7 linked regions of the Callithrix jacchus genome follow. The protein of the gene in region 3 binds, or shares a complex with, the protein of the main gene of each other region. Links are inferred from orthologs where the notes say so. Each region holds a gene or a part of one and is shown on either strand. Other genes may lie near its edges.

What was found.
Region 1: UBTF (region 3) and POLR1C share a complex: the UniProt entries of both Homo sapiens proteins name them as parts of the pol I pre-initiation complex. The link is inferred for Callithrix jacchus from reciprocal best matches to the Homo sapiens genes UBTF and POLR1C.
Region 2: UBTF (region 3) and POLR1H share a complex: the UniProt entries of both Homo sapiens proteins name them as parts of the pol I pre-initiation complex. The link is inferred for Callithrix jacchus from reciprocal best matches to the Homo sapiens genes UBTF and POLR1H.
Region 4: UBTF (region 3) and TATA box-binding protein-associated factor RNA polymerase I subunit A share a complex: the UniProt entries of both Homo sapiens proteins name them as parts of the pol I pre-initiation complex. The link is inferred for Callithrix jacchus from reciprocal best matches to the Homo sapiens genes UBTF and TAF1A.
Region 5: UBTF (region 3) and POLR2H share a complex: the UniProt entries of both Homo sapiens proteins name them as parts of the pol I pre-initiation complex. The link is inferred for Callithrix jacchus from reciprocal best matches to the Homo sapiens genes UBTF and POLR2H.
Region 6: UBTF (region 3) and POLR1B share a complex: the UniProt entries of both Homo sapiens proteins name them as parts of the pol I pre-initiation complex. The link is inferred for Callithrix jacchus from reciprocal best matches to the Homo sapiens genes UBTF and POLR1B.
Region 7: UBTF (region 3) and TAF1C share a complex: the UniProt entries of both Homo sapiens proteins name them as parts of the pol I pre-initiation complex. The link is inferred for Callithrix jacchus from reciprocal best matches to the Homo sapiens genes UBTF and TAF1C.

What each region holds. Positions count from the first base shown.
Region 1 is NC_133505.1:51,998,629-52,002,741, reverse strand, and holds the start of POLR1C (DNA-directed RNA polymerases I and III subunit RPAC1), read right to left. Parts: upstream 2,801-4,113; 5' UTR 2,778-2,800; coding exon 2,709-2,777; intron 2,582-2,708; coding exon 2,510-2,581; intron 570-2,509; coding exon 462-569; intron 187-461; coding exon 54-186; intron 1-53. Other genes in the region: protein YIPF3, read left to right, coding at 3,083-3,163, 3,797-4,006. UniProt on the Homo sapiens protein: DNA-dependent RNA polymerase catalyzes the transcription of DNA into RNA using the four ribonucleoside triphosphates as substrates.
Region 2 is NC_133505.1:34,798,452-34,802,718, forward strand, and holds the start of POLR1H (DNA-directed RNA polymerase I subunit RPA12), read left to right. Parts: upstream 1-1,467; 5' UTR 1,468-1,510; coding exon 1,511-1,581; exon of another isoform or gene 1,582-1,747; coding exon 1,748-1,902; exon of another isoform or gene 1,903-1,980; intron 1,981-2,139; coding exon 2,140-2,240; intron 2,241-2,446; coding exon 2,447-2,556; intron 2,557-4,267. UniProt on the Homo sapiens protein: Core component of RNA polymerase I (Pol I), a DNA-dependent RNA polymerase which synthesizes ribosomal RNA precursors using the four ribonucleoside triphosphates as substrates. Can mediate Pol I proofreading of the nascent RNA transcript.
Region 3 is NC_133506.1:71,067,274-71,070,773, forward strand, and holds part of UBTF (nucleolar transcription factor 1), read right to left. Parts: intron 3,479-3,500; 5' UTR 3,412-3,478; coding exon 3,354-3,411; intron 1,701-3,353; coding exon 1,525-1,700; intron 983-1,524; coding exon 899-982; intron 802-898; coding exon 646-801; intron 1-645. UniProt on the Homo sapiens protein: Recognizes the ribosomal RNA gene promoter and activates transcription mediated by RNA polymerase I (Pol I) through cooperative interactions with the transcription factor SL1/TIF-IB complex.
Region 4 is NC_133520.1:17,669,556-17,673,055, forward strand, and holds part of TATA box-binding protein-associated factor RNA polymerase I subunit A, read right to left. Parts: intron 3,400-3,500; exon of another isoform or gene 3,204-3,399; intron 2,045-3,203; coding exon 1,912-2,044; intron 1-1,911. UniProt on the Homo sapiens protein: Component of the transcription factor SL1/TIF-IB complex, which is involved in the assembly of the PIC (pre-initiation complex) during RNA polymerase I-dependent transcription.
Region 5 is NC_133516.1:13,344,881-13,347,499, reverse strand, and holds the end of POLR2H (DNA-directed RNA polymerases I, II, and III subunit RPABC3), read right to left. Parts: intron 2,467-2,619; coding exon 2,383-2,466; intron 916-2,382; coding exon 798-915; 3' UTR 501-797; downstream 1-500. UniProt on the Homo sapiens protein: DNA-dependent RNA polymerase catalyzes the transcription of DNA into RNA using the four ribonucleoside triphosphates as substrates.
Region 6 is NC_133515.1:22,055,078-22,059,144, forward strand, and holds the start of POLR1B (DNA-directed RNA polymerase I subunit RPA2), read right to left. Parts: upstream 2,801-4,067; 5' UTR 2,769-2,800; coding exon 2,592-2,768; intron 1-2,591. UniProt on the Homo sapiens protein: Catalytic core component of RNA polymerase I (Pol I), a DNA-dependent RNA polymerase which synthesizes ribosomal RNA precursors using the four ribonucleoside triphosphates as substrates.
Region 7 is NC_133521.1:41,830,479-41,834,478, reverse strand, and holds the start of TAF1C (TATA box-binding protein-associated factor RNA polymerase I subunit C), read left to right. Parts: upstream 1-1,200; 5' UTR 1,201-1,347; intron 1,348-1,650; 5' UTR 1,651-1,768; intron 1,769-2,110; 5' UTR 2,111-2,153; intron 2,154-3,217; 5' UTR 3,218-3,289; coding exon 3,290-3,424; intron 3,425-4,000. UniProt on the Homo sapiens protein: Component of the transcription factor SL1/TIF-IB complex, which is involved in the assembly of the PIC (pre-initiation complex) during RNA polymerase I-dependent transcription.

The sequences.
Region 1 (4,113 bases), on a different chromosome or scaffold from region 3:
AACCAGGATTTAAACCCAGACAGTCCACTTCTCCCAAAATTTCATTTTCTCACCTTGGTTCCGATACTCAAAAAGACGGGGGTCAGCATGAATGGGAATGAGCCCCAGACGGTGAGCAAGGATCTCATCCTGAACAATAGATGTGTTGTTGTACACCAGGACCTTCTCCACAGCCATAGTTGGCACCTGCCCAAGGAAAAAATCACTTATCAGCAAAAACCCAATAGACCCCCTACCTATCCCCACAAACTCCAACCTCCAGAGGTAGGGAGCTATCTCTCTTCCTAGAATGTTTAATGAGAAGTTTACAAAGAATGAGAAGGTAAAATCCTTAGCCAGCAAAACTCCAGGAAAAATAAGAAGGGAAGGACAGCTTGAGACACTTAATTCTCCAAGTGACACTCCAAGTGTCAGTGCAGTTCCCAAAGCAAATCCAACCTTGTCACCATGCCTGCCAATACCTCAGCTAACAGAATTCGTCGAAAAGCATTGGCAATGGATGCATCAATTCCCACCATGTCAAACTCCAGTGAGTTTTCATCCATGTGTACCACATCCACACGGAAATTCTAGAGGGACAGGAAAAAGATTAAGTGAAGCCTGCTCTCTTTGTAATAGCTCTTCATACCTCCCCCTCAGATGATTCCAAGTATTATCCACTCATCCAAAAACCACCCTTTGCCCAGACGTCCCTTATTAAATGTTCTTTCTCGTCCAGTGCTTGCTTTAGGTTCATGAAAAGTGTCCATTTTTTGTCTTCCATTCATTAAAACCCTATCCAATATGGCTCCCAACCAAACCATCCACAGAAGCTATTGTCCTAAGAACAGAAACCCACCTCACTGCTTAGTCATGCTGACACTAGACAGTCCTTTTACTAGACGTCTGTTACGCCTGGCATTGATTAAAAAAATCCCCTCCTGGAAAGGCGCAATGGCTCATGCCTGTAATCCCAGCATTTTGGAAGGCCAAGGTGGTTGGATCACGAGGTCAGGAGTTCGAGACTGGCATGGTGAAACCTCATCTTTACTAGAAATACAAAAAACTAGCCGGCCATGGTGGTGTGCACCTGTAATACCAGCTACTCAGGAGGCTGAGACAGGAGAGCTGCCTGAATCCAAGAGGCAGAGGTTGCAGTGAGCTGATATCCTGCCACTGCACTCCAGCCTGAGCAACAGAGACTCCATCTCAAAAAAAAAAAAAAAAAATCCCCTCCTTTTTTGAACTATTCTCCTGGCTTCTGAGCTCCATTCTTCCTTCTCTGATGATCAACAACGTCCACCCATCTCTAAATCTACCAGGTTCTGGTCTCTCTCCCAGGTGACCTTAACCACACTAACAACGGTTTTAGCAACTATCTGTGCTGACACCTCCCAAAATTTTACCTCCCTTCTGATCTCATTTCAAATATGCAGTCTTCTAGCCTGCTAGATTTCTCCAAATGCAGGAAACGACGTATCATCATTCCTCTTCCCCAGACCCATTTCTTCTCTCAGTAAATGATACCACAATGCATCAAAGCAGTTCCCAAGTCAAAAAGTCATTTTATGCTACCCCAACAGCCTTTACCAAAGCAATCACAAATTTACCTTCTTTCTTCCTTTGCTCTCTTTCTACCGTCAGTCTTAGTTCATACCTTCAACCTCAGCTTCCCTTACAACAGATCTGCCTGCTCCATACGATCCTCTTCAAACTCATTCCCTCCCAGCTATCAGGGTTGCAAATCTAATCATGTCTGCTTAACTATTCAAGCTCCCTATCATCAACAGTGCCCAAGACACACTTCAATCTTGCCTACCACTAGTGCCAGAACTGCTTGGACATTCCCGGAGCACAATTCACACCATAACTTTTTTTCAAGCATTAGCCTTTTTCATTGTTCATACTTTATTCCTGTATCAACAGGTTAAAAAAAGTAAAATTTTCCCAAGCACAGATTTATAGATCATGTTTTATAAACTGCACACACAGTTCAGTTGCATAAACAGTAACATTCAGTGATCTATTTAAATGCAATTTTAATCCTTATTTTAAGCTAAGTGAAACAATAATAGACTAAATACACACAAAACCTGTATATCCTCAACTTCACTGACCTGAAACTCAAAGCCTTCCTAATTTAACTCCTGTTCTTTACTTACCGTTCAAAGCTCAATTCAGATCTTCCCTCCTCAAGAAATGTTAAGTACCTCTGGGCCCCTCTTCCTGGTCTCAGCATAATGTTCCCCACACGAATCCTGCCATCTTCACAGCTATCAACCACCTTTACCATATTAAACTAGATTCACTTGTTTATACGCACCATTCCTCAACAAGACTGAACATCTTGTTTGCAGAACTGGGTAGAAACTGTGTCTAACTTGGCCTGTAAACGGAGGTCTACCACATTGCTCAACAAAACTTACAAACGGAGCGACCCCCAAGAGCAGCTACTGAGACAGACACATGCTGCTGAGACCACAGGGTCTGGCCCTCCTAACAATCCCCGGACAACTCTGGCCCCACTGACCTTCTCGAAGCGTTCCTGGTCCCAGGCATCATCATAACCGGAATAGTTACCGGGAAAGTCAGTGGTATGGACCTAGAGCAAAGGGATGAGTTTGTCCACAAATGGACAGTGAGCCTACGGCTATCCCCACGCCAATCCCAAGACCCATCCCTGTTCCGCTCTCATTCCTCCCGCCTGAGCTCAAGGACACAAGTCTTACATTGCGAACCCCAAACTCTCCTAGAACCACGCGGCTCCGCATTTCTTCCACGGCCTGAGTAGCCGCCATGTTCAATCTCTCCAAAAGACTACAGGCTCTAGCTGGCGCGTGCGTTCTAGCAGCACTGCTCCATCTCCGTGGCAACGCACCGCCTCCTGGAATCTTAAATATCGCGAGACTTTGCTCCACCTTCATCCACGTCCCCAATTTCCGGAAGTTGGTTTTGTCCAAACATCCGGGTTTCTCCTTTTTGTGTTCCGGCTGATCCCACCTCTCCGCGACCTGGGACCTCTCCCTTCTTGGGACTCACATCTCGCACACTTCCCTGCGCGCGGGGCTATCGCGGGCTTCAGCGACGGGAGCCCTCAAAGGGCATGGCAACTACAGCGGCGCCGACGGGCGGCGCCCGAAACGGAGCTGGCCCGGAATGGGGAGGGTTCGAAGAAAACATCCAGGTAATGGCCCCAAGGCACCAGATGCCAGCAACCCGAGGGCCGGCGATGTCCAGAAGTGTCTTGGGGATTCTCCCTCGGGGCCTGGAAGTTCACTCCATTTGCAAAACTGCCTTCTTTGGGTCTTGCACACAAAAGTCAGTGGAGTTAACATTGACCTGAAAGGGCCAGACTAGTCTACTACTCCAGCCTGAGGATCTCGGGTCTCTGGGCCCGCCCGAGGCGTTAGGAAGAACGTATTCTTGGAACAAGTTAGGAGGTTGGTTGGGGTCAGGCCTGGAGTGGGGTTGGGTGGGATTCACTGGCACTCGCCGAAAACATACTGTGTTCATAGTTTTGTTTGGGGCTTTGGAAAGACAGAAATGGATTCTTTTTCAAGCTTTTAGTCTTTGATAGGTAAGGTAGGAGAAAGACATGAATGGAAGACTAGTTGGTTTCCCAGGCTAGAAAAGATAGCCAAAGCTATAAATCAAGCGTTCTGAGAGCAAATGAGGGGGAATGGAGTGGCATGATCTGTAGTGATTCCAAGCCGTATCCTCAGCAGTGGAAGAACAAAGCCCTAAGCCCTGGGATGAGCAGAGGACTTAATGGATGGAACAGAAAAGTCCTGCACTCTAGGAGCCATTGTCTTAACAGGGCGGAGGCTCAGCTGTGATTGACATGGAGAACATGGATGATACCTCAGGCTCTAGCTTCGAGGATATGGGTGAACTGCATCAGCGCCTGCGCGAGGAAGAAGTAGACGCTGATGCAGACGCTGATGCGGCTGCTGCTGAAGAAGAGGATGGAGAGTTCCTGGGCATGAAGGGCTTTAAGGGACAGCTGAGCCGGCAGGTGGCTGATCAGGTAAGCAAGATGGAATCCCCTGCAGGTGGAAAAGTAAACCTAGGTGTGTCCCATGTCCTGGAGTTGGTATTGGTGTGTCGCCCCAGGTTGTCCTGGTAGAAATCAAA
Region 2 (4,267 bases), on a different chromosome or scaffold from region 3:
ACTACAGCTTCTGTCCTTCACAAGAGAAAATAGTGATGGCTTAATTATTCACAAGTGATCTTAGTTATTTATAGGTGATCTTAATTCTTTTACTAATGCCTCTCAGGTCTCAGGCCGGAAAGTGAGAACCTGGGGTGACATTGTGAGGGCAATGACCCTAAAGCAAGACGCTTTACAGCAGCTATGCCTGCATAAGGGCGACTAGGGCCGCCTCTGCTGTGCTACCGCGTCAGCACTGAGAAAATGCCCGCTGTTGAGCCAGCTAGGGAAGGAGGCGTCCAAAGCTGGCTGAGACGTCTCATTCACCGGGGGAGTTAAGCGAAAACTCCACTCCTCCAATCTCTTGCCTTAGGCCTGACAGCTGTCAGGTAGACCCACAGGCATCCGGGGGCTTATTTGTCTCTATGTGATGCTGTGCTTCAGTGGTCACATTCCATGTCCACTCTCATGTCCTACTTCTGTACCAGGTTCCTATTTTCTTAGAAGAGATAATCAGTAAGAGTAATATAAACTTAATGTCTTTGTTCTTTCTTAACAAGTATGGAAAAGTGCTAACGCATTAGGCTCCTTGCCTCATCCCGGCTCCTAGAAATTCCTGGGTCCGTACCTGTATGATATGTGATGTACTTGACCCTATCACTGCTACGCCCCATCTACCTTTCCCCTGGTTGCTGACCACCAACCACCAATGCCACACCTACTTACCCTGCCCTCAGCTTTGTACTCAAAAAAAGTCAGAATGCGCAGACACGACCGGGGCCACTGCCGGACTCCGCGATCTGGCTGGCAGTGAACCCCCCCCACCCCACGCCACCCCACCCAAACTTTCTATCTCTGTGTCTTATGTCTTTTATTTCTGGTTTCTTTTCTCCACACCAACAGAGAGGGGCTCACAGAACCCTGTAGGGCTGGACCCTGTACCTCCTGACTTCACCCTCACCACTTGCGGTCCCTCAAGAATCCGACTTACCCCTTACAAGCGGCGAACTGTTCCCAAAGCACACAAGGCTAGTTGCGCTCTGCTGAAAGCCCACGTTCTCCAGCGGGACCCAAGGAACACTAAAACTGTACGTCCCAGAACACTTAGCTTTCTTTTTAACTACTCTGCAGCCGCAAAAGGGAAAAACCTGCTCAGGATCAGGGATAGTTGTAGTTCTCTAATCCAAAGAAATCAGTATTCAGCAAAATACAGTTTTCAGGGGGATATCTCCCGGGACTCGGTTCCTGTAGGATGTGAGACAAAGAATAAATATCCGAGGATTGGGTACTGGTGGGAAAATTTGCTGGAAGCGCAGCATTGGCTACGAATTTTGTGCTCAACGTCTCAGCACTAGGGTGAAAGTGAAGCCGCAAACTCCCTTCGGAGAGGTTAGGCTCCATCTCTAAGGCTCCCGAGACAAGGTTCGCAATTATTTATGACGTCACAACCAATTGTCAGCCCGAATGCGTGACGCTCTAGCCGGCTCTAGCTCGCCGCTGAGCGGCGGGCGTAGAGCTGCCGCTCTAGCCCATGGAGTTGGCTCGCTCCTCTCGCCGGCCCCAGGAAAGGGTTGCAAGTCCTTTACTACCCGACGCTAGCTGGTAAGCCATTCCGGGCGTTTCAGCTCCCTGGTCACAGAGGCAGGAGGCGTGCGTGGGAGGAGAGCTCGGGTTATATACTCCCAGGTACTGGGACAGAACTGTTATGACCTCTGTGTTGGGGGGATTCCTCTCTTTTTGTTAATATAACTTCTAACTCCCTCTTCAGGCCTGACCGCATATGCGTCATGGACCTAGCCAGCACTTGCTCCAGCTTTCAGTCGGACTTGGATTTCTGTTCAGAGTGCGGCTCGGTCCTGCCTCTGCCAGGGGCTCAGGATACGGTTACCTGTACTCGCTGTGGCTTCAACATCAACGTTCGGGGTGAGAGGCTTGTACGCAGTGGTCCTGGCGGAGGGTCCAGGGTCGGAAACTTGGGGACCTCAAGATCGGCAGGGGACCCTAGAGCAGGAGATCAGGCAATTGTACATTTGGTCTCGAGATGAAAAATGAAGGAAAGGATATAGGGCTTCCTGGCCTAACCAGTCAGGGGAAAGGGGAGGTTTCCGGTGTCAGCTCCCTCTGGTTGTCTCCATAACCAGTTCTTACTTGCCTGTGCAGACTTTGAGGGGAAGGTTGTGAAGACTTCAGTTGTGTTCCACCAGCTGGGGACAGCCATGCCTGTGTCGGTGGAGGAAGGGCCTGAGTTCCAGGGACCTGTGGTAAGTTAATGAGCTCAATGACTGGCTCCATAAGGTGGGTAGGAAAGAAACGGAGGAATGATTGCAGAGATCTGGAGAGTTGTGTGCCCAAGTCCAAGAGGGAAAAGAGATGTAAAGCATCCATGTTTGAGAGGAGTGATCGCCTGATTCCTGTGGGAAGTGAGGGGATATGAACTGGCCTCCCTAACCCACCGGTTTCTTCCCAGGTTGACAGGCGCTGCTCTCGATGTGGTCATGAAGGAATGGCTTACCACACCAGACAGATGCGTTCAGCAGACGAAGGGCAAACTGTCTTCTACACCTGTACCAACTGCAAGTGGGCATCCCTTCCCCTCCCTCTGCTCAGTCTGTTTGCTAACTAAACAAATCCAGTGATTCTGTTGTTGTTGTTCTAAACCACCATTTCCTTTCGTCCCATTTCTGTGCAGTTCTGGTAATAAGAACATTTGTGGTTGGTTTTTTTTTTTTATTTTTTTTATTACACTTTTTTCTTTTTTTTTTAGTAGAGATGGGATTTCTCTGTGTTTCCCAGGCTGGTCTTGAACTCCTGAGCTCAAGCGATCCACCCACCTCAGCCTCCCAAAGGGCTGGGATTACAGGCATGAGCTACCCTGTCTGACCTACTTTTAGGATATATAAAAGGAAATGAAAAAACAAACAAACAAAAAACATAAGAAGCAGGTATTGTTTAGTGGTCGGCATCTTATACTGCAGTCTTCAACTGCAGTCAAGGTAGCTTTACATTGGAGAAAATTAGTCACGCACGATTTAGGGAACATGGGCTTTCTGAATTATTTTAAGACATCATCTTTGTCTTTGGTGTCCTTCAGTCACTACAGTATATAAAAATGTGATTTTTTAAAAATTCCGTTTGGGATTTGTTGCACTTTCTGAAACTGAGAGTGAATTTTTTTTTTTTTTAATCAGCCTTGGAAAATTATCAGCTATCATCTCATTTAATATTGCCTTTCCCCCATGTTCCCAGTCCTCACATTCTGGACCTCTAATTAGTTACAAGAAGAGAGGTGTCTCTTTTGTCCTCCATTTCTCTCACCCTCTTTTCATATTTCAATCGCTTTTCTCTTTATGCCACCTTCTGGGTAATTTCTTCAGGTCCCTCTTCCATGTCACTAATTCTGTCTTCAGTTTATTTTAAATATTATTTTTTATTATTGCTATTACTTTGAATTCTATTTACTTTTCAAATCTCCTCAATTTTTAAATAATTTTCAGTTCCTTAATCATATTTTAAATTGTTCATTCTTTATATATTTAAAATATTAATTATGGTTATTATAGTCTATGTCTCATAATTCTGATATCCATGGATTTTGTCTTCTGATGCTGCTGTCTTTTGTTTCTGCTCTCTCATGGTGCCTTTTTTCTGTTTTGTGATTTTGTCTATAAATTTGAGTTTTTTAGAACTTGAACTGTAGGAATTCTTTGAGACCTTGAGTGAGTGCTGTATTCTCAGCATTTGCATTTCTTTTCCTTGAAGCACTATCAAGCTGGAATTACTTTAAATAAATTCTTGGCTTCATGTTTTTTGGAGCAGACAGATAGTATGAATTTGAGCTGCAAATCCACGTAAGGGTTAGCTTATGGTTAGAAATTCTCAGGAGAGAGTTTTCTCTCCTGCCTACTAAGACAAATTCCCCTTCTATAGAGTTGAATTTTTTCTTTTCTTGTTCACTTTTACAAAAAAGGGCAGCTCTTTGCAGTTCCCAAATTTATGCAGGGAATCTCCTATCAGACCTTTTACATTTTGTCCCTCATTTCCTATGCTTTCAGTGACCGTCATAACAGTATTAAGGGCACCATAGTGTCACGTTTCATTGGGACTTCAGTTTTCACTGTCTGGATTTCTGGTTTTGCATAACTTTTACCAGTGTGAAGTTTGCCTTTACTTTCTCACCATCTCATCAATGGATTAAAAATATTCACAGTCAGATATATCTTTTAAGAGTATTTTTTCCTATCGCTGGTTGTCATTTTACCAAAAAAAAAAAAAAAAAAAGATTTTTTTT
Region 3 (3,500 bases):
TGGGCAACCCCCTGCTCAGGGTTAATGCTTTGATGGTCTGAGACAGTGCCCGACCTCTGCAAGGAAGAGCATGAGGCCAGGAGGGGCAATGTGTGTCCTTGAGTGAACATGTGTGTGTGTGGAGAGGTGTACTTCACAGGTGGACGTGGCAGTAAGAGCACTGGCTGGGACTCTGGGACACTATCCTGCTATAGCATTAACAGTTGTGTCACTCAGGCCACGTAACCCTCCTGCACACAAAACTGGGATAACATTTTCCTGGGTTTCCTTTTCGAAAACACTGCAAGTATCAAATGAGACCATGACAGGAAGCGTCACAGAGAGGGAAGAAGTGCTGTGCAGCCTGACAGTGAGGATGGGTGGATGGGGGAGAGCCTTATAAAACAAAACACTGTGGGTTTTCTACAGGGGGAAAGGTTGGCCTGAGCACCTGCTGTCTGGTTTACGTCTGTGACGGTGCCCATGCCTGACCACTTGTGGGCTGAGGAAGGGGCAATCAGGTGTGACTGCCCAGGACCTACTCTGCTGTGCTGACTCACCTGTCCCCGATGCCAGGTCCCTCCAAGGCCTACCTCCAACTGACCCACACCACCCCAGCTGCTCCCAGCCTCTCCCCTCCTCCCACCTTAGCTCTCCTCCCCCCACCTTCTTCTTCTCTGGAAGCTCCTTGTATTTCTTGGACAGAATCTTGGTTAGGTCCAGGTTGCTCATCTCAGGGTGGAGTTTCGCATATTTGGCCCGCTTCTCCATGAAGAAGCGGAAATAAGGGGTCAGGGGCTTCTTTGGGAAGTCTGGGTGTTTCTGGAAGGAGGGACAAGGACATAATGGAGGTCATATACCATCTGTTATTTGGACCTTTCCTCCCCTACCCTTCATGCGCCTCTTTCTAGTAACTCACCTTGAGTTTTTTGCCTTTGTAAGGATTTTTCACGTGTTCCTGGGCATCAAGGATCAATTCTGTCAATGTACGGAACTTCCTCACCTGGAGGAAGAGGAGAGGAAAGGAGGGGAAGTTGAGAAAAGGAAAATGCCACACAGTAGCATATCCCTATCTTACCACGGGTACTCCCATCCTGAAACGGGTCTCTTCTACTCTTCACTGGACTAAAGTTACCAAAGAGCAGAGGCCAACAGCCAAATGAAGCAGGCAGCATGACACCCAGGCCCTGGCCCATGCCTACTGCAGAGGCCCAGGCAGTCAGTGCACACCAAAGGCCAGCAACAAGCGGACGACATGACCTCTACCTGGCTCTCCATGCCAGCACCTCCTTCAATCTCAGCACAGCTCAGGCTGTTTGGCTCAAGACCGATAGAAAGTGGCGTAACTCTAAGCCAGTGCTGTCAACCACACCACCTCCCAAAGTGCACAAGGGCAGGTAGAGAGCTAGCAGGCGACCACACAAACACCTCTCCTGGTCTCTTTCCTTCCTGTTTACAGCTGGCTATTTCACTTCCCCCCACCACAGCTGAGGTAGGTGTATGTGGAGATGTGTATACATGTGTGTCAGGAAGGGGATCAGTTACCTCGTTAGAAATCTCCACCCATTTGAGCTTGCACATGTCTCCAGAAAAGTCCTTAAATGCTACTTTTTCCCAGTCCATATGTGATTCGGTGGTTTTGAACTTGGAGCTGTCATTGGATGGAAGATTGTTCTTCATGCATTCCAGCAAAGTCAGCATGTCTTCCTGGGACCAGCGATCTGGTGAAGGGTAACAGAGGCCATCGTACCTGGCTCATGCTATCCCCCTATTCTGTTCCCCAGTTATTGAGTGCTCAACCCTTTTTCCCTAGGAAATCCCAGCCCCTGGTTGCTTCCCATCTGAAGGCAGAGATAAAACGTAACTCAGTTCTAAGCCAACTGTGGCCATATTGGATCAAGGCAGGGACTCCAGTCCAGAACATGCCATACCTAGAAAGCTAGGTTTGACTGGCAAACATGGTGAAACCCTGTCTCTACTAAAAACCCAAAAATTAGCTGGGTATGGTGGCACACGCCTGTAATCCCAGCTACTCATGAGTCTGAGGCAGGAGAATCACTTGAACCTGGGAGGTGTAGGTTGCAGTGAGTGGAGATGGTACCATTGCACTCCAGCGTGGGCAACAAGAATGAAACTCCGTCTCAAAAAAAAAAAAGCAAGGCTTGAACACAAGTCTGGCTTGCTTCAAAGTTATTATCATTTCTCCCGTGCCAGGCTGCTACCAGCAGCTATTTATTGTAAGGGAAGAGGAGTGGGTATGAAGGTATAGTGATTCAGGGCTTTGTGGGAAACAGGTAGCTTGTCAGAGAAGGTGGGAAGCAGGGAGGCAATATACCTAAATGTGTGGCCAAGCTCAAGTTCCGAGTTTAGGATACCCTAAATATGCAAGGACTGAGAAGGGGGTGTGGGCAGTAAGGAAAACCCATGCAGATGTCTGCGCTGCACAGATGGAAACCAGTGTTAGAGACACCTCCACCCCCAGGCCCCTCAGCGTAGATCAAGGAAGAATTTCTGGCAAACAAGAAAAAGGGAACAGAAACAGAAGCAGCATACAGAGCAGCTCTGAGGTAAGGGAGGCAGGTGCACAAAAGCTCTCAGGGCCCTGCTCCAGGGAGAACCCCCAGAATAACAAGCTGTGTTGTCAGCCCAACTCCCCAGGGAAGCAAGACCAGGTCTGGACTAGCTATTTTCAGCCACGGAAATGCAGCTCCAGAGAGCACTCTAGGCTTCTGCGGATGGGCTGGGAGAATAGCCACCCAAGGCCAAAAGTCAAAAGGGCTCCTCTCCATTTTCATTTGCATCTCCTAACCTGGGCCAGGGTTTCTGCAGAGCAGGTCACATGGACCCATAATCCCCTCTCCCTTCAATATCCCCCAAGCATGGCCAGCTGCCCAGCTTCATCCTACCTTCCAGCCCCATACAGACTTGATCACTGCTGAGTGAGGCAGAGGTCTAGGTGAGTACATATAGCCCATGGCTTGGGGCCTTAAAACACCTCTTTTCTCCACCTATCTCTATAAAAGCCTCATCGTCTTAATAAAAACCCTGAGACGACTTCCCCAGCCCCTTCCTCTACACTCATTCTTCCTCCCATCCCAGGACACTGAGACGGGACACACTTCAGGCTGAATGGGACCCCAGAAGGCATGCCGCCTCAAACTCAGGGGATGAGGGAAAGGAGAAGTGAGCCATTCCAGGCCAAATAATTTGAATTCAACCACACCTCAAGTGTGGGAGATGCTTGATTCATCAATACTTAAGGCACTTTCTTGCCCAGTTCAGAGTATGGAGAAGCCCTTGAGAAGGGAGTGAGCCCCGCAGCCATGAGAAAAAGAGGATTTAACTTTCAGAGGGCTGGGGATGAATGCCCCTACCTTGGCCTTTGGGAGCGGCCATTTCCAGGTCTGTGGGGCAGTCGGCTTCTCCGTTCATCCTCCAGCTGTCCAGCCACCTCCTTGGTCGTGCTGGCCGGGCAACCCGGGGTCAAAACCACCTCACCCTTTGGAAGACATACCAGTTCC
Region 4 (3,500 bases), on a different chromosome or scaffold from region 3:
CATGGAATAGAGATGTACAATAAAGAACCACTGTCATCAACCTAACTTCTAATATGCTACTGAAAGAATCTGGAAACGTATCAATCTGTCAACAAATATTTTTTGAGCACCACTGTGTGCCAAGCACTATTCTAGGTACTCATCATAGAGCTTCAATCCAGACTTGTCCCGTCTTCAAAGTTTTTATTATAAGGGGCTTGCTGGGTATGCCCTTCAAAATGCCAAAAGATACCTACCAGCATAAAAAATAAATACAGTAATTGTCAGGCAATTTTGTTTTCCTATTATAGTTAATTACCAGAACAATGTCAATATTACTTGCAAGTATTTTCTCATTGCAGACCAACAGTATTTTGGGTTTAACAGGCCATCTATGACATGTAAAATATTTCTAAGCATGTAAATTTTGGTCTTTGGTTTTAAATGTATCTACTTGCAGACTGACTCAGACCCTCTATAGAACACTGGTAACAGAAACATGCCCAAGTATGGCATAACTAGAGGGAATTTAAATTACTAGTTCCCTGCCAGGGAGGAGGTAGCACTATCTCTGACGTATCATTCATTCAGATCTGCCTTAAGCCATGTGCATTAATTTAGCAAAAATAAAACGAGGAGAGGAAAGGCACTATTATTTTTCAACACTCACTATGCGTAAGATACTATGCTAGGCACTTGAAGTATACTATCTCATTTTAAAAAATATACCTCAGTGATTAAAAGCGTAGTCTTTGAGATCAAACAGACCTGGGTTTGACTCTTGATACCACCACTTAAGAGCGTAATGTCTTTGAGATTCAGTTTCCTTCCACCTAAACTGTCTAGCACAAAAATTATTGAGTATTAACTTACTGAGATCATTAAATGAGATGATACTTAGATTAATATAAAAAAATAAAAGCAAAATTTTAGGAGCCAAGGAATCTCTGTCAAGGGGAGAAAAGGCTGGGCAAAAAATACATATTTAAGGGCAATAAGTAAAATGCTGGTTCAAATGTATTCCCCGGACTATACCACTTAACATGCCAGCATACAAATAATTGCTTCTTTTATTTATATTAAATATATTCTTATAGGAAAACTATCCCATAGAAAAACATGCTTGCATTTACATTAGATAAAAATGTAGAAAATGCTCTTTTATCTAGGCCAGGTAGAGTGGCTCATGCCTATAATCTCGGCACTTTGGGAGGCCGAGGTGGGCAGATCACTTGAGGTCAGGAGTTCAAGAACAGCCTGGCCAACATAGTGAAATTCTATCTCTCCTAAAAATACAAAAATTAGCCGGGCATGGTGGCAGCTGCCTGTAATCTCAACTACTCAGGAGGCTGAGGCCAGAGAATCACTTGAATTCCAAAGACGGAGGTTGCAGTGAGCCAAGATCAGGCCACTGCACTCCAGCCTAGGAGACAGAGTGAGACTTGGTCTCAATATATATAGATATATAGATACATATATATGATATATATAAAATATATATACATATAATATATATATCTAATAAATATAATATATATATATATATTTCATGACCAAATCTATTAGAAATAATGTCAATGCAATTCAACAGTAACTTCTGGAACACTTCCTAGGTATGTTTTCCTCAATGGCAGAGACCGTATCTTCTTCATCTATAACTCTCAAATATATAGTCAATGCCAGAGATAAAAGTGTTCAGTAAGTATTACTAAAAAAAAAATGTGTATCTAGCATAATACAGACTATCTATTATTAATCCAAGGGCAAAAAATTCTAAAAGAAAAAAGATTTTTTTTTCTTTGGCTTATGGCCTAAAAAATACCCCCATATAGTCCTATCTTGAAAATTAAACCAGCCTGGTTATTTTGTATCTGTATGGAATCTTACCACCTTCTTAAAGTTACAATGGTTCAGTGTTATTATTTTACTTACCCACAGTTTCTATGTAGGTTTGAAGCCAAGGAAAATGCATTCCTGCACCAGAGAGCACAGATGTTTCCACTTGTTCATCATCTGTTACAGGCCCTTTTAATTCTTCACTGAAATCACTCATACCTATTACAGACTGAGAATACCAGTTACTCTCTGTACATCTTAATACAGTCTTCTGAGTTGTACAGAAAAACAGCCATCTTTTTATCTAATAAATATAATTAGATCAGCAAAATGAATTACACCTGTGAGCTCTTTTAAAGTAAAAGATGAATTATGTCAGCAACAGCCAAAATAAATGATACATTAAAAAAAAAAAAAACACCAAACTACCAATGTTTCAAGCCTATATAAAGAAAAATAAGATACTGTCCTCTAATTTAAAAAATGTCAAGTCCAGATGAATAAAATTAGCTACAAATAAAGTTTTGTTATTATTTGTATAACAAAACAATATAAGAAGTACAATAATAGTAGTAGTAGCTAATATTAGGCCCCTACTATGTACCAGAAGTATAAATTATCTAATATAATTCTCACAGCAATCCTGAGGTGAGTATATTACTTTCTTCCATGTTAAGGTTGAAAAAACTGAGGGGCTCAGTGAAATGATGAAACCTGCCTAACGTTACAAAGAAAGGTGATGTTACAAAAAAAGGAAATAGAACACCAAACTACTTGGCCATGACTAGAATTCGGGGTGTGTGTGGAGGAGGGGTGCGGAAGGTGAGAAGCGAACCTAGAAAGACAATCATAAGCCAAGCTGAATTTGGACGTACTTCTAAAGATGCTCAGGGCCCCTCCCTCATTACCCTTATGAAATCGAGTATTGGTACCTCTGATATTACCTCCTAAATTTCCCCAATTTCCCCTGTTCTCTGCAATCTTACAGCACTACCCTAGTTCAAGACCCCTTAAAACTGTGTCTAGATTACTGCGTTACCTTTCTAAACAACTACCCTGCCTCGGAGTCTGCTTCTTTGCATTACAGCCAGAGTAAACCTTCTAAAATCAAATTCTGTGGCTAGGAGTATGAGTTATAAGTAAAAACTGAATTTAAATTTGACCCATCAAGTATTTTGAGGAGTAGTTACACAAATCCTCCCTTCCCAAATCCTCAAAAATCCAAAAGAAGCAACCGAAGCTTCTCCATCCCCCTTCTCTCGTTCTCAGACCCCAAAAAATAGTTTCAGTATTAGGAGGAAATATCAGAAGAACATGGATGACTTCTGACACACCCCTTCCCGTTCCATTTAAACGCAGGAACCACGGGCGATATCCGCGGCACTTACCCGCCTAAAGTTAGAGCTCCTCAGTAAAGCTAAACTCAGTCTCTGACCCCGAAACACGTGAAATTTTCTTCGGAAGATCGGTTAGGAGAGCTTTATATGAGCATGCGCAAAACCCGCCTAAGGCCTTCAGGCAACGCGCGGCCTCACTCCTAACTCCTCCAGCAGCTGCAGACGTCTCATTGGCCCCTCCTGGACCCTGGAAATGACCCGGGAAGTGACAGTAAATTGCCCTGCTCCCATTGGTTTTGCCCGAGTTTTACATTTTTGTCTGTCTCAGCCATAAAGTGGAAGACTTAC
Region 5 (2,619 bases), on a different chromosome or scaffold from region 3:
CTGTCCACTTCCACTTACCCTCCCTCCCGGGTCACCACTGGAATGTAGAGCAGAGAGCCAGCTCCTCCACCTGCCTCCGGAAGCACCAAGTCCTCTCCTCCGACTCTTCAGAGTCATCCCCCATGCCTGTAGCTAAAAGCCTCTACCCAAATCTTCCACAAAAATAATGAAATAATGAGACTATGCAAGTGACTCATTCAAGTCAATGTGAACTGACTCTCTAAGAGACTGAAAGTGTTGGAAGGACACGAGCAGGGCTCCTTGCCAATTCAAACTTCTGTGCCAAATGGGTGGTATCTTCTGGGCCTGGGGTGCCCTCAGGAGCCAAAAGCACAACACTCCCTCTCCCAGACAGAAAACCACACTGGAGGATAAACGTTGGGAACAGTCAGCCAGGAGACTGGGATAACCCTGAACCCAGATACCAAAAGGCTGGAATAGATCCTACAATGGCAAGTGATCAGCTGGCTGCGGGCCAGAAACAGTACACCACAGACAAATTGGAAAAAATGATTTTACAGTAAACGAACTTTTTACAAAAAGGGGAGGGGCAGTCTGAAAAAGTAACATTTGATTAAAAATCATATACACAAAGCTTCCTATTGATTTTAAGCTCTCCCACTGTGTCTTTCACAGGCGAGTGAGTTTCTAACTGAGTGCAGGCCAGTTAAAGATGCAGCCACAGTGGACAGGGAACCAGCCCCTCCTCAACAGGTAATCAAGAGCAGCTGCAACTCAAGCTAGAACGATGTCCAGGACCTGAGTGACGTGGCAGCAAGGCTGGCTTCAGGCGAGGTTCAGAAGGCTAGCTTCTTCATCAGCAGATAAACTCTGGAATCCACCTCAAATCCATGCAGGTTGTTGGCATCCCCCTGCAGCCTCATGAGCAGGCCCCCATAGGACACGTAGGCAGAGCTGAAACAGAAGGCCGCATGCCATGAGTCTGGAGCAGCTACTACTCAGCAGCTCTCCATCTCAGCCTAACAAAGAGAATAACATCTTTCTACTGTTTTGTCACTAGGAACCAAAATTCTGACAAAGATGAATGTACAGATATGTGTAAGGCACTGTTCTTTTTTTCTTTGGGACAGAGTTTCTCTCTTGTTGATCAGGCTGGAGTGCAGTGGTGTGATCTTGGCTCACCGCAACCTCTGCCTCCCGGTTTCAAGCAGTTCTCCTGCCTCAGCCTCCCAAGTAGCTGGGATTACAGGTGTACACCACCACACCTGGCTAATTTTATATTTTTAATAGAGATGGGGTTTCTCCAGGTTGGTCAGGCTGCTCTCAAACTCTCAACCTCAGGTGATCCACTCACCTCAGCCTCCTAGAGTGCTGGGATTAGAGACATCAGCCACTGCGCCCAGCCAGCATTGTTCTTTCTATTAGCAAAGTCGAAAAACACCTATATGCTCCAAATCAGGGGAATGGGATCCACTTACTGAAATGTTATCTAACTATTAAAATGTTTAAGAAAGCTTTACACTAACATGGGGAAACATTTTCTTTTTCTTTTTCTTTTTTTTTGAGACGGAGTCTCTCTCTGTCTCCTGGGCTGGGGTGCAATGGCACAAGATCTCAGCTCACTGCAACCTCCGCCTCCTGGGTTCAAGCAACTCTCCTGGCTCAGCCTCCCAAGTACCTGGATTATAGGTACCTGCCACCATGCCCAGCTAATTTTTTGTAATTTTTTTAGTAGAGACGGGGTTTCACTATGTTGGCCAGGCTGGTCTCAAACTCCTGACCTGGTGATCCACCCACCTCGGCCTCACAAAATGTTGGGATTACAGGTGTGAGCCACCACGCCCGGCCAAAACATGTTTTACATAATGTTAAGCAAAAAGCAGAAAAAAGGTAATTAACACCGCAGTCTCAAAGGAAAAATATAGATGTTAAGAACACTAGGATATTAACAAAAAATTAAAAATAAATTTAAAAAAAGAACACTAGGATATGCAAAAAAGTCTATGTAAAAGGTTCTCTCTGGGTATGGAATGACAGGGTTTTTTTTCTTCTTCACATTCTCTTCCGCATTTCAAATTACTTACAAACAGCACATATTGTTTTAATAAGATTTTAAGGAAAAGACACACACACACACACACACACACAGCCTAATAGTATAATCACTTAATGCTGCATTTGGTTCCTCCATACTTTAACAGGGAGATGACCAGTTTCTCTTCTGGACCACTAGGCCAGGAGGGCCTGACAAAGGGCAGTCTACAATTCAGACTGGAAACTGCTCTAATAACCATTTCTTTCTAGTTCCCACCTATGTCTGAGGTGCCTAAGGAGAAGGACCCAACAGAGGAAGCAGAAGCATAACTCAAAGTCTCAGAACAGGGAGGGGGAAAACAATCCTCACAAGATCATGTAACTTACAGGCGTGTTGCCGCTTCAGTAGAAGTTTCGTCTCCCTCAATCCTGTATACTTTCCCATACATTACATACTCAAATTGGTCAGCCCTATGGAGCAAGAGTAGCAAAGTTATTCTTAACAGTAATTAACAATATAAAAGATGCCATTTAAAAATGGTAACTGGTAACTCGATGCCAGCATTTTAACAACAGGCACATTATAAACATGACGCCATTTAGTCCTCACAGCAATTCTGTGAG
Region 6 (4,067 bases), on a different chromosome or scaffold from region 3:
CCATAAATTCTGACTCACAAGAGGAATTCACTCCAAAGAAAGTAGGCAAAATTACATTTTGTAAGTACATAAAAATATGATAAAACTTTTTTTTCCCCTTGGCTTTATAAATAGTAGTCATTTACTTTACTGTGTTTTACAGAACATTTTCAAATATGTTATTATTACAGTCCTAGATAAGTTGTGACATTATTTTCTGTGCAGGGCCAAATTTTCTTCATCTACTTCAACCAAAACAATGTATCACAAGGAGCTGAATGCAGAAGCAGACATGAGAATCCAGCTGTCTTTTCATTAAGCCAGACATTAAAAAGATTTTTAATAATGCAATTCATCTAATTTCTTTTTTGCTCTGAAAAATGATTTTCATAAAAATGTTAACATACAATTGGTTTATTTTTATTTCTGTTTATTTATTTATTTTTGAGACAGAGCCTTGCTCTGTCGCCCAGGCTGGAGTGCAGTGGTGCAATCTTAGCTTACTGCAACCTCCACTTCCAGGGTTCAAGCGGTTCTCGTGCCTCGGCCTCCCAAGTAGCTGGGAATACAGACATGTGCCACCATGCCCGGCTAATTTTTGTATTTTTAGTAGAGACAGGGTTTCACTGTGTTGACCAGGCTGGTCTGGAACTCTTGATTGACCTCAAGTGATCCGCCTGCCTCAGCCTCACAAAGTGCTGGGATTACAGGCAAAAGCCACCACACCCAATCAATTGGTTTATTGATTGATTGATTGATTGATTTTTGAGATGGAGTTTCACTTTTGCTACCCAGGCTGGAGTGCAATGGCGCGATCTAGGCTCACCGCAACCTCCGCCTCCTGGGTTCAGGCAATTCTCCTGCCTCAGCCTCCTGAGTAGCTGGGATTACAGGCATGTGCCACCATGCTCAGCTAATTTTTTGTATCTTTAGTAGAGACGGGGTTTCACCATTTTGACCAGGATGGTCTCGATCTCTTGACCTCGTGATCAACCTGCCTCGGCCTCCCAAAGTGCTGGGATTACAGGCGTGAGCCACTGCGCCCGGCCCGAATTAGTGCTTTTCTAAAATTTCTCAATTTGATTATCTTTTTTTTAAAGACAAGGTCTCGCTCTGTTACCCCAGCTGGAGTGCAGTGGCACAATCATAGCTCATTGCAGCCTTGAATTCCTGGGCTCAAGTTAGCCTCCCACCTCAGCCTCCTAAGTAACTGGGACCACATGTGCCCACCACCATGCCCTGCTATCTTTTAACTTTTACAGAGGACGAGGTTTCACTATGTTACCCAAGCTGGTCTTGAAATCCTGGCTCAAGCCATCGTTCTGCCTCGGCCTCCGAAAGTCCTGGGATTACAGGTGTGAGCCACTGTACCTGGTCTAATTAACTTTTAATTAGGTATTTTTTCTCACAGACATGATACTCTAAGAATCCAGGCACAATACATACAAATATCCCCACCACTCTTGTCTTCCCAAAAAATAAATTTTAATGCCTCCCGTATTATTTGCGGAATAGAGTTCAAGTATCAGACTGGCAATCAAAGCTCTTCACATTATCTCTACCCGTATCTCTCACAACACAAATCTTACACAACAAAACCACAGGTAGGGTCCCCTAAGCATGTGACTCTGCTCTACTCTTCCCCTGGACGGAATGCATGTTTCTCACCTCTTGAACTCATCTAATCCTGCCTTTTCTCAAACTCCTGGACTAGTTGCGCTGCCTATATGCTCCCACAGTAGCCCATAAAATCCCTTGACAGAGCAGTGCTCGCGTATTGGCATGGACTACTTTCCTATCTTCACTCCTTTAACCCCAAAACACGACAGGGACCACTTAAATGTATGAACTGTCTCTTACACGGGACTGCGGCCTTCACATCCTCAGAGCCTAGTGCCTAGAGACACTGGGGATACTTACTAAACGAAACTTTCCCCCACCATCCTCACCTCAATTCTGCTACCATTACCCTACGCTAGTAATGCTATTACACTTTTCGATTCAATCTTGCCTTTACGACTCATTTATACCTTCTTTAGCACCTACTTAATTCAGAACAAATGAGTAGTTTCTCTCTTTAAAGCTCTAAGAAAAGGAAACTGAAGGATAACCTTGTACATTACACTGTACCTACAAATACGTTCAGAATATTTTGAGGTACGTTTTGGAGAGGTGTCTTCAAGTGATACAAAGGCATGTGCATTGTGAATGGTTGGGAAGCACACCCCCAATAAGCCATTTCCTCACTCTCACAGAACCCAGAAACTATCCAACAAGAAACTATGGTTCGCAATCACTTTTCAATCCAGAAATCACGAATACATCTCTTAGACGACTCGAATACACGTTCCACGAGGCCCAGCTCTGCGTCTTGTTCAACACGTGTGCTCTCCCGCTTACCCTCTGAGCCTGTCAGGATCAAGGAGCAAACGCATTTTGGGTCACACTGTGGCCTCTGAGCCATTTCTCTGGGACCCTGTCACCGCCCGCGCCCCACAAGGCCCAGACCTCACCCCCGCCCCTCCCTCCTCCAGCTCCGCCTGGCCCCTCTCGCCCGCCAGCCTCGAGCTTGGTCTCTCCGCGGCAAGGGCGCCAGTGGATGCCGCACTCACCTGCACCGCGAGGCCGAGACCCTCGTGCACAGCATAGTTGAAGGACTCCACATGAGCCCGCGTCAGCTCCTGCAACGCTGCCTTTTGCTGTTCCCGCGGGATTCCATAAGACGGGTCGGTCAAGTGCTTTAGGCTAGGCCCATTGGGAAGGTTTCGCCACCGGCTGCAGGGATCCATGCGGCTACTTGCACACCTAACACCCGTCGCTCAGTACGCGCCGGAAGTAGTGGCCGGAGTCCCGCTTCCGCAGCCTGCTGGGAAATGTAGTTCCCTCTTGTTCCGCCCGCCCTAGGCCCTACGGTTTTTATGGGGTCGACGTAGAACCAAAACCGTCGAGTGAACGGGCCGGTTAAAGCTGTATCCAGCCAGAGCGTGGCGGGTCCGCCCCTTCTCCCATCTTCCGCTCCACGCATCTCCCTCCTCTGCTAAAGAAGGCGAAACCCACTCCTCACCCAGTTGAGCGTGTGACCTCTTTGGCTCTCATTGGCTCAGTCAATTAGGATTGGAGGTAAGCGGTCTTCTCAGGTTCCCATCTATCCGGTCCCTTAACCTGTTCCAAGTCCCACGCTGATGCCGACCCTGGGGAGTCATCCGGACAAAGTCGTTGTTTCAATGAAAAATCGGATGCCGGGCCCCGGGCTCTTTACCCAACTCCTAAATCGCGAGGCTCACCCCTGGAAGGCCAAGGTCGGGCCCGCTAACCTCCCCGCATCGTCTGGACTGGAGTCCTGGGGGAGGCCCGGGGAAGGAGGTGGGGTAGGGGTCGGGCGGTCTCAGATGGAGAGGCTGTGGTAGGGGGGCGTCCAACATTTAGTACAATGTTGAAGGGACAAGAATAAATATACTTGTTTTGTGCCTGATGTTGGAAGAAAGCTCCCAACTGGAGCATTCACATCACCATTAATATGATGTAGGCTGTGGGTTTTTCCAAAGATGCTCTTTATCAAGTTGAGAAAGTAATTTATTTCTAGTTTGTTGAGAGGTTTTCTTCCCAAGAGTGTTATTGCCAAATGCTTTTTCAGTGTATATTGAAATGATCATGTGCTTTTTGCTCCTTTTTTCTACTAAAGTGGTATATTAAGTAAATTTTGTAAGTTAAACAAGCTTTGCATTCTTTTTTCCCCTTCTCAACGTTTATTTTAGAATCAGGGGTACCTGTGCAAGTTTGTTACAAATGTATATTGCGTGATGCTGAGGTCTGGGACACGGTTGAACCTGTCACCCAAGTTCCAATAGGTAGTTTTGTATCCAATAAGTAGTTTTAAACCTTTGCTCCCCTGCTTCTCTCACTGCTCTAGTAGTCCCCAGTGTCTGCTGTTCCATCTTTATGTCCATGTGTACCCAATGTTTAGCTTCCACTTTTTAATTTAATTTTTTTTTGAGACAGGGTCTTGCTCTGCCACCCAGGCTGGAGAGTAGTGGTATGAACTTGGCTCACTGCAACCTCCTTTTCTCAAGTTCAAGTGATTCTTGTGC
Region 7 (4,000 bases), on a different chromosome or scaffold from region 3:
AAGGAATGGAGGCAGCTTCCAGAAGCCAGAAAAGGCAAGACAGTAGACTCTTCCTCAGAGCCTCCCAAGGGGAACACAGCCCTGCCGACATTTTTAGTCCAGGTAAAAACTCCCAGATAAAAATGATATAGGCCAGGCATGGTGGCTCACGCCTGTAATCCCAAGACTTTGGGAGGCCAAGGCGGGTGGATCACTTGAGGTCAGGAGTTCGAGACCAGCCTGCACAACATGGTGAAATCCCATCTCTACTAAAAATACAAAAAGTAGCCAGGCATGGTGGCATGCACCTGTAATCCCAGCTACTCAGGAGGCTGACGCAGGAGAATTGCTGGAACCCGGGAGGCAGAGGTTGCAGTGAGCTGAGATCACGCCACTGCACTCCAGCCTCCATCTCAAAAAGAAAAAGAAAAAAACTATAGATGACAGTTGGAGAATTTGGAAATTGATTCTTTAAAGCAACTGTTCTCCAAGTGTGGGCCTTGGACCAGCACCATCTGGGAACTTGCTAGAAATGCAGACGCTTGGCCTGCATCCCAGATCTACTGAATCAACAGCTCAGGAGGCAGAGGAAGGCTGAAGCAAACTTGCCACAAGCCCTCCAGGTGGAGCTGAGGCTCACTCAAGTTTGAGAAGTACTACGTTAGGATAACGGTGAGGTTTATGACTGGATACTGGTTCTTAAAGCATGACCCCCAGATAAGCAGTCTCAGCATCACCTGGGAACTTGGGCAAATTATCAGACCCCACCCCAGACTCACCCAACTGGAGACCGTGTTTTAATGAGCCCCCCAGGTGCTTCTGCTGATGCACACTTGCCAGAGTTTGAGAACCACTGCCTAAAGCTCTCCCTGCCTGACCAACCCTTGCAAAGCCTCACTCTCAGGAGGCATTTGTACTCTTATTTATAAAGCCTGCTTCTTAGGATTTAAGAACAATCACTAAGATACCTACTTATTAATACAGTGCCTGGCTTATAGTAGGTGCTCCGTAACAGTTCGTTAAATGATTAATACAATACAACACCGAGGAAATTGGTGAAGCAGATGTGGGATTCGAACCCACAATCACCCAGCCTCCACTACTGAGACTCCAGGGAGCTTTATTTTCGCCGCCCACGCGCCGCCTGAACGCCGGGTCCGCCAAGACCCAATGACGCCTGACTGGGAGGCGGGACTTCCTGCCTTCCCAGGAGGCACTTCCGGTTCAAACGGTAAAGCCGTGAGTGGCCGCGGAGGGGCTGAGTGCCGGCTCTGTGGTTCTGTCTGAGGTTTCCCGCGTGGTGTCGGGGTCGGGCGAGCTTCACGCCGCGGCCCATTTTCTTGAAAATCACGATCGGACCCGGGCCACGTAAGTGCATCTGCCTCCTCCGCGCGGACTGGGCGTGTTCGGGAGGAGTGCACCCGCAGATGGAGGAGGAGAGAAATCCCCGAATCCCCCGTCCCCGGCCTGGCGTCAGTGCGGAGTCCTGAAGCCTCGGAAGTCTAAAGGGTCCTGGGGAGCCTGCAGCGAGGGCGGGAAGCCGGCTAGGGAAGTCGAGGCTGCCTTGTGGGAGGGCTTTTGCGGGGTCGTGCGCTCCACCTGCGTAGGATCGTTTCAGGCTGTGCGGTTCCGAGGGAAAATCCTTTTGTTTCTGTTTTATTTTTGAGACAGAGTCTTGCTCAGTCACCCAGGCTGGAGTCCTGTGGCATGATCTTGGCTCACTGCAACCAGTGCTTCCCGGATTCGAGCGATTCTCGTTCTCCAGCCATCCGAGTAGCTGCGATTACAGGTGTGCGCCACCACGCCCGGCAGATTTTGTTATTTTTAATAGAGACAGGATCTCACTATATTGGCCGGACTATATTGGCTCAAATTCCTGGCCTCAGGTGATCCGCCCGCCTTGGCCTTCCTAAGTGCTGGGATTGCTGCAGGAGCCACGGCACCTGGCCAAAGGGAAAAGGTTTTTGTTTAGTGAGATCCTAATGCCAGCCTTCGCGTTTCGGTGCATGGGAGAGCAGTGGTTCAGAGCTCTGCCTCTGAATCAGGTGCGAATCAAGCCTTGGCTGTGGCACCTTAAGAGCTGTTGTACTGAAGTTCTTGCAGAGCCTTCGTTTCTTGAATTCCGTAACAGGGACGGCGATAGAAGAGGAAAACGTTTAGCAAGTGCCTGACAGGTAGATGCCTGGCGCTTGGTCAGTGAGCTCTGCTGTTATTTCTGCCCGTTATTTTTGCTAATTAAAAAGGAGGGATAACATGGCCACTCAAACTTCCAGAGGACTGTGGAGTTTTGTTGTGTTTTTTGGTTTTGTGTTGTTTTTTTTTTCAGATGGAGTCTTGTTCTGTTGCCAGGCTGAAGTGCAGTGGTGCCATCTCGGCTCACTGCAACCTCCGCCTCCCGGGTTCAAGCGATTCTTCTTTCTCAGCCTCACAAGTAGCTGGGATTACAGGCATGCACCACCCTACTAGCTGATTTTCTATTTTTAGTAGGGATGGGGTTTCTCCGTGTTGGTCAGGCTGGTCTCAAACTCCTGACCTCAGGTAATCCACTCACCCGCCTCAGCCTCTGAAAGTGCTGGGATTACCAGTGTGAGCCACCGCGCCCGGCCCCTTGTGATATAAATTTATTTTTATTCAACCCATAGTGCATTTTCTGTGGGGTCACTATGCTTGACAGTAGGAAGACGATGATAGATGCAGTCCCTGGCTGTGGAGTAACTCGAGCTTTATCTTGGGAGTGTGTATAGTCTAAATGTGTGATGACGGGGCTTAGGAGCTGTGTGAGAGGCTGCCCCCACCAGCAGTCTGGTCCATCACCGCTCTCCACCTCGCTCACCCTGCGGCTGCCTCATTGTGTGAGAGGCTGCCCCACCAGCAGTCTGGTCCATCACCGCTCTCCACCCCGCTCTCCACCTCATTGTGTCTCATACACGTCACTGCTCCAGGATTTTCACACTTGCTGATGGTTCTGCCTGGAACCCTCTCCCCAGCTGTGTACATAGCTCTGTCCCTCACTAAGTTCAGGCTGTGCTCAATGCCACCTTCTCAACAAGGCTTTTCCTGGCTGGCTTTGCTGAAACAACACCCTGGGCCTGTTAGCAGATCCAGCTCTCCTGGGTGGGTGGCTAGCTTTAATATAGTTCCCATTACTGCTTGGCGTTGGGCTACATACTCATTCGTTTTTTATTATCTGCTTCCTCAAAGAACATATGCTGCTCATAGTGCCCTTTTCACTCCTCAGGAACCGTGGCACCCCTCACCAGCTTCCAGTCTCTCGAGGTGGCCAGTGTGCTGCTTGGTCCTTGTTCCCAAGATGGACTTTCCCAGCTCCCTCCGCCCCACATTGTTTATGACCGGCCCCCTTGGTCTGAACGATGTCTCTGACCTGTCCATGTGCAGCTGGCAGAACGTGCTGACTCAGCCAGAGGCCCAGCCCCAGAACTTGAAGGTAAGGATGGAGGCAGGGGCCCTGGCAGCTCCAGGGTGCACCCCTTCCCTGGTTCCCCCATCTAACATTCACCCCAGTTGACAAGGCCACAGAGTGGGGTGGCATTCTCACGAGTCTGCTGAGACACAGGCTGTGCCACCTTCTTGGGCTACCCTGCCATCCCTAGACGGATGCCCCCACTGTGCCAGATTCCTTATGAGGTGCTGGGAATGCTGTGTCAGTCAGCCAGCTGACCTCCTGCTCCTGGCACAGAGAGCTAAGTTGAGCGAGAATAAACAAGTGAACCTCATTCAGCGGATAATGTGTTTACAAAATGTGATCAGAGCTTGGAGTGAAACCGGAAGAATGCTGAAACAGCGTGGTGGGATTGGGAGAGGGAAGGATAGACCTGCCAGGGTTTCTGGTGCCTCTGGAGGGACACTGGCTCTTTGCTTGGAATCCTCAGCCACCTGGTTCCCCTTGGAGATACCCTGTCTAGAAATGGAGCCTGGCAGAGGCAAGCGGGTGAACAAATAAAAAGAGAGAGTGGAGCAGGGATTTGGGGGATGGGAGTCAGGGATGGCCTCCTTACGAGGG